Linked DNA regions of Saccharomyces cerevisiae S288C. The protein of the gene in region 1 interacts with the protein of each later gene in a biochemical or structural test. Each region holds a gene or a part of one and is shown in the gene's direction. Other genes may lie near its edges.

What was found.
Region 2: the proteins of ARG3 (region 1) and CAR1 form a complex in vitro, tested with the Saccharomyces cerevisiae proteins (one study listed by BioGRID).

Annotation. Positions count from the first base shown.
Region 1 is NC_001142.9:266,759-270,402, forward strand, and holds ARG3 (ornithine carbamoyltransferase), read left to right. Parts: upstream 1-2,040; coding exon 2,041-3,057; downstream 3,058-3,644. Other genes in the region: SIP4 (Sip4p), read left to right, coding at 1-1,657; TRL1 (tRNA ligase), read right to left, coding at 3,244-3,644.
Region 2 is NC_001148.4:338,086-341,681, forward strand, and holds CAR1 (arginase), read left to right. Parts: upstream 1-1,858; coding exon 1,859-2,860; downstream 2,861-3,596. Other genes in the region: PEX25 (Pex25p), read right to left, coding at 1-535; GDE1 (glycerophosphocholine phosphodiesterase), read right to left, coding at 2,983-3,596.

The DNA of each region.
Region 1 (3,644 bases):
AAACAGCAAATTAGACTTGAAAGTTTTGCAATTGGTTAACTTATCCATCTTTTATTTTATGGGCGCCTCTGTTGACTCTTGTAAAAGTAAAAGCTCGTTAACAGAACATTCAAATGTAAATTCAGTAATATGGACCAATGATTTGCTAAACCTAAACTTTACAAATATTTTGAATATGGGATTGTACATAAATCCCAAAAATTTAATTCCTATATCAGGCAACAATAATAATAATAAATCTAATGAAGAGGATGATAGAATAGTGACATTTTGGTGCTTTCAATTCTTAAGCTCATGGTGGTCCTTAATTCAAGGTTTACCAAAGTCCAACTTTTTAACTGAAGAATTTCAACCGAAATCAATCTCGGTTCTAGAAATCCCCAGGCTGAAGCCCTTTGAAATTTTGTTAAACTTCATCATATATTCTTTGGATGGATGTAATTTGTTGAATATCTCATCTTTAAATGTTTCGGACCCAAATTTCCAATTTTTCCAGAATGAACTGGAAAGCTTTAAAAAAAATTTATTACTGTGGAACCTTTATCACAATTTGAGTGATCACGATAACTTCCGATTCTTAACATCCAGTTCAAATAAAAAACTAACAACAAATTTACTACTTAAGAATTTGACGGGTCTAAATCACAAACTCAATCAACCTGATTTTGTGGAGATTCAATTAACTTTATTTTACTTGAGTTTAAAATTAATGACTTTAAAGGAAGGGGACCAAGATTTGAAGAAAGAGGATATCTCGTTAGAGATATTGTCCCTATATTTTTTAATTCTTACAGATGACTCTAATAATGATGATAATCAACAGTTACAACCACAGCAACTAAATCTCTACCATTTTACGCCCTTCAATAGTATTGACATTATTGACTTATGTTTAAACAATTTAAACAATTGGTCATTATCACTTAAATACGAAAGTGGTCAAAACCAGCCCCACTCAAGTAAAATAAAGTTTGAAAAATTTCAAAACTTTTTAAATCACTGGTGTCCAATATGGTACTATGATGAATTTTCCACAAACCCTTTTTTACAAATCCTCAAAATCAATTTCAAATTACTTCCTTTTGAGACAATCCATTACTCACAAGAAGAGCAACGATTGTTAATAAGTTTGAATAAATTGAGATATTTGGATGCCGTATCGAGCTTTAATTCAAGTTCAGTCAAGTCGAATTTCGCGTCTAAGGTCAATACCCAGCTAAACCTTTTGCAACACTCGAGTTCTAACTCCAATTTCCTAGATGCGTCACCATACGATTTTAATAAAATTTTTATGAACAACTTTGAAAACTATGACTACGAAACAGATGAAGGATATGCGGAAGATGATGATGAAGAGGATAGTGACAGTGACAATAGCTTACCACTAGAAATTCCTTTTAAAAAAAGTAAAAATAAATGCAAGAATAGGAATAAAGAGCTTTCACAAAGGTTATCCCTATTTGAAAACAGAGATAGCAATTCGGTAGATTTCAACACAGATACAAATTTAAATTTAAACCCTGATTCGCCATCAGTTACGTCTTCTAAGAAAAAATATTTAGATCATATTATTTTAGATAACCGAGACATCGTTAGCAACCATGACTCCAGTAAACAAAAATTCAAGATCCAGAATATTTTGAACTCGACCTTCTAACATTACGCTCCTTCGTATTACTCATTCAGCTCTTCCTCTGATAGCAGTGAATTTTCGAGGGTCACGTCGTGACTCATATGCTTTCTTGTTCCGTTTCGTTTCGAGATGACAAAAAACTGGTCATTTTTTCCGTTAAGTGCAACTCACAGCAGTATCGGCCGCTGAGAAATGCCCGGACAAATTTTTTTGAGCCGGATTGGTCACCGTTTCTTTCTTCGGCGCGGCTTCCCATTCCCGTCCATCCAAAAAAATCTACCTATATAAATCGACTTTTCACCTCTAAAGGCAGTTTATTCCTTGTATGTCCTTTAAGTACAGTTAATAACGAGCAATTTTTTTTTTTTTTTTTAGCCATCTACCCATCAACTTGTACACTCGTTACCATGTCAACCACAGCATCCACGCCTTCATCTTTACGTCATTTGATTTCTATAAAAGATCTTTCTGATGAAGAATTCAGAATCTTAGTACAAAGAGCTCAACATTTCAAGAATGTTTTTAAAGCAAATAAAACGAATGATTTCCAATCCAACCATCTGAAACTATTGGGTAGAACTATAGCCTTAATATTTACTAAAAGATCAACTAGAACGAGAATTTCGACCGAAGGTGCAGCCACCTTCTTTGGTGCCCAACCGATGTTTTTAGGTAAAGAGGATATTCAGCTTGGTGTCAATGAATCATTTTACGATACCACCAAGGTTGTATCATCTATGGTTTCATGTATTTTTGCCCGTGTGAACAAACATGAAGACATACTTGCTTTTTGCAAGGATTCCTCTGTACCGATCATCAACTCTCTATGTGACAAATTCCACCCTTTGCAAGCAATTTGTGATCTTTTAACAATAATCGAAAACTTCAATATATCTCTAGATGAAGTAAATAAGGGAATCAATTCAAAATTGAAGATGGCATGGATTGGTGATGCCAATAATGTCATAAATGATATGTGCATCGCATGTCTGAAATTCGGTATAAGTGTCAGTATTTCCACTCCCCCCGGTATTGAAATGGATTCCGATATTGTCGATGAAGCAAAGAAAGTTGCTGAGAGAAACGGTGCGACATTTGAATTAACACACGACTCTTTAAAGGCCTCCACCAATGCCAATATATTAGTAACCGATACTTTCGTTTCCATGGGTGAAGAATTTGCGAAACAGGCCAAGCTGAAACAATTCAAAGGTTTTCAAATCAATCAAGAACTTGTCTCTGTGGCTGATCCAAACTACAAATTTATGCATTGTCTGCCAAGACATCAAGAAGAAGTTAGTGATGATGTCTTTTATGGAGAGCATTCCATAGTCTTTGAAGAAGCAGAAAACAGATTATATGCAGCTATGTCTGCCATTGATATCTTTGTTAATAATAAAGGTAATTTCAAGGACTTGAAATAATCCTTCTTTCGTGTTCTTAATAACTAATATATAAATACAGATATAGATGCATGAATAATGATATACATTGATTATTTTGCAATGTCAATTAAAAAAAAAAAATGTTAGTAAAACTATGTTACATTCCAAGCAAATAAAGCACTTGGTTAAACGAAATTAACGTTTTTAAGACAGCCAGACCGCGGTCTAAAAATTTAAATATACACTGCCAACAAATTCCTTCGAGTTGTCCAATTTCACCACTTTTATATTTTCATCAACTTCAGCAGATTCAACCTTCTCACATAGAACATTGGAATAAACAGCCTTAACACCACTTTCAAGTTTGCACAGCGTAATATGAGGAATTTTGTTTTGACAACACAACCCTTTAATTTTCTCATTGTTTTCATCAATTATGCATCCATCTTTATCTTTAGACAGTTCCACTACAATAGCAATGATTTTTTCATCCCAACATAGTTTTTCGAGCCTAAAATTCAGTTTGTCGGTCGTTTTTACCTGCGTATTTTGGTTATTACCAGAGCCTTGTGCATTTTCTATGCGGTTGTTATTGTACTCCGTTATCTGGTCAGTGTATCTGTTAC
Region 2 (3,596 bases), on another chromosome or scaffold:
GGAATGGTGTGCCGCCAAACCTTAAAATATATCTAAAAGTACTTAATTGTTGACTGATAAAATCAATTTTCTTGTCAAAATTTCTCAAAAGAGACAGGAGAAGTACTTTAATTACCGTGATTGGATGCCTTAGTGCGACTTTTACAGTCAGATTTTTCAAAATCTTGGTATAGTACGTTAATACGGAAGGGTCCAAAACAGTTAAATTTCGCTTAGACTTTTCGATAAACAGTTTTAATATATCCAGAGCGTATTTGATAATTTTGGCTAATTTGTCTCTACCAGATAGAGAATCCAATATATATTTTAAGATGGTAATATTATCCACCATCTTTGTTTTTGCTTGAGAATCCTCATCATCACTTCTCGAGGATTCAGTATGCGACTCGCTTCCACTGCCTGCACTGAACTTCTCTGCACCGGCGTCTGATGAATGTGGATGGGTATTGTCATCCTGGGCGTCCTGGTAACTTGCCCCAGAATAAGGTGGTGTTTCTGAACCGGAAACGATATCTGTCGTGCCAAACTGACTCATTGTTTTACGACCAGTTTCTATAGGTGAAGACTTACAGGGAAGTTGAGGATATCGACTCTATTTGTTACTTTCTCCAGCATACAAATTACCGATGATTCTGAGAAGAAAGAAGAAAAACGTATTTCAAAAATTATATAACCTGAAATAATAAGCCCAATCCCACCGGAATTTCATATACTATCACCGACCTGGAAAAAAAATGAAGAGTAAAAAGAAAAAAATAAATTTAGCGCCGCTCGGTTTCGATCCGAGGACATCAGGGTTATGAGCCCTGCGCGCTTCCACTGCGCCACGGCGCTGCTAAATCATGTGAGTTTAGCGCGTACCGAGCAAATTCACCAAAATATTTACATCCAATTTGCTCCCCTCACTCTTCCCCGATGTCGGTTGTGATTACTGCTACGCATGGCGACTCTTAATTTCTTTCAGGTATAGTAACATTTACTCCTTTAAGTAATTGTCTATTTTTCCTCGACACTGTATGTAGTTACCTTTCAAGGAAGCTATTCCAATACCATCGTGAGAAAAACTCTATTGGATACTTCATCTAGCTCGTATATATGCTTTTTAAACTTTATACCAAACCGTGTAGGCAAAACTGGACCGCCCGGTAAGTTCTGCTATTAACAAATTAAATAAAATTGGCCAAACTGAGGATTGACAGTTCTGAATATCCAAGATTACTGACTTCAATTTTCTCACTTCTCATCATAATATTCCGCTGATTTTTACATACCGTATATCCAATTTACGGCCCTTCACATATAGCGGCGAAATGATGGTAAAGCTACGCATACTGTCTGACAGGACCCTATTCTAGCAACCTTACATGAAACAAAAACAAACAACATCACATCATACGGATGAACTACGGGTGCAATCCCTGACTCATCAATGTTTATCATAAACTTAGATATCAACACTGATAAACCCCACCTCTATTTTTACTGGTTCTTCACTTTTTCGATGCCGCACCGTCGCCCGCGATCCCCGCCCTTTGATTGCTCCTTCCATTAACAGTTTTTTTCTATCCCTTACAAGAAGCCGAGACGCCGCGAAAATATCGGCTAGTGCGAATAGTCTCTAGCTCTTGCCCTTCGCAAAGCACCGTGCTGCTAATGGCAATCAACAGCGCATCGCCGCTCGCTGAATTTTTCACTTAGCGGTAGCCGCCGAGGGGTCTAAAGAGTATATAAGCAGAGCTTGCGGCCCACTTTCTATCAAGATCTAAGACTGTTTCTCTTCTCTTGGTCTGTATATGTTTTCTCAAAGTTAGCAGAAACAACAACAACAACTATATCAATAACAATAACTACTATCAAGATGGAAACAGGACCTCATTACAACTACTACAAAAATCGCGAATTGTCCATCGTTCTGGCTCCATTCAGCGGCGGTCAGGGTAAGCTTGGTGTCGAGAAGGGCCCTAAATACATGCTTAAGCATGGTCTGCAAACAAGCATAGAGGATTTGGGCTGGTCTACGGAATTAGAGCCCTCAATGGACGAGGCCCAATTTGTGGGAAAGTTGAAAATGGAGAAGGACTCCACAACTGGGGGTTCCTCTGTTATGATAGACGGTGTCAAGGCTAAAAGAGCAGATTTGGTTGGTGAAGCCACCAAGTTGGTGTACAACTCCGTGTCGAAAGTGGTCCAGGCGAACAGATTCCCCTTGACCTTGGGTGGTGATCATTCAATAGCCATTGGTACTGTATCCGCGGTTTTGGACAAATACCCCGATGCTGGTCTTTTATGGATAGACGCCCACGCTGATATAAACACCATAGAAAGCACCCCCTCTGGAAACTTGCACGGCTGTCCCGTGTCATTCCTAATGGGTTTGAACAAGGATGTCCCACATTGTCCCGAGTCGCTCAAATGGGTTCCAGGCAACTTGAGCCCAAAAAAGATCGCGTATATTGGGTTGAGAGATGTTGATGCCGGAGAAAAGAAAATCTTGAAAGATCTGGGTATCGCCGCCTTTTCCATGTACCACGTTGACAAATACGGCATCAACGCTGTCATTGAAATGGCAATGAAAGCCGTGCACCCAGAAACAAACGGTGAAGGTCCCATTATGTGCTCCTATGACGTCGATGGTGTAGACCCATTATACATTCCTGCTACAGGTACTCCAGTGAGAGGTGGGTTGACCTTGAGAGAAGGTCTTTTCTTGGTGGAAAGATTGGCCGAATCCGGTAATTTAATTGCGCTAGACGTTGTTGAATGTAACCCTGATCTGGCTATTCATGATATCCATGTTTCAAACACCATCTCTGCAGGTTGCGCCATTGCAAGGTGTGCATTGGGTGAAACCTTATTGTAGTTTATATCATCATCCCTTTTATCAAAATAAGCATTCTCTTTTTATTTTAGTTAAGCACATGCATACATAAATTTACGAACAAAAAAAGAAAATAAATTAAAAATAAAAGTAGTGTATCTTCGTTACTTTTCATTCTTTTTGGTTAACCCACGTCTAATTGCCAATACACTATCGACGATCACGGCATCTACACCTGCTTCAATTTGTATACTGGCATTTTCGGGATCATTGTTGTCCACACCGTAAGTGACACATACCAGCCCATTAGACTTAACCACTTGCACCAACCGTGGGGCCTTTAAAATGGGTGCTGCAGCAGATACAATCCCCAATAAATTCCACTTCTTAGCAAATCTTATACCGTTTTGTAACGATGAGGCTCTCAAATCGGCCATCTGTTCACTTCCACCTTCCGTCAGGAACAAGATCGGAATAACCGGTTGCTTTAACGAAAGCATGATGCAAATATCCGGATGAAATGACGAAAAAATGATGTCCCTACCATTCGCATTGTCAAAAACTACTTTTAACACGGTGTCAACCCAATGGTTCATTTCCATCATTATTTGCCCTAACTCTTCCTCTTCTGCCTCATCAAGCATGGGAAACTTACATTCTATGTTAAACCCAACGTTGGCAGGGATTTTCTTGAATAGTTCTTTCAAGGTAACAAATGATGAAGCTATTGAATGTCCTCTAGCGTTTCCCTTAAAATTGTTCTTTTTAAATGTTTTGG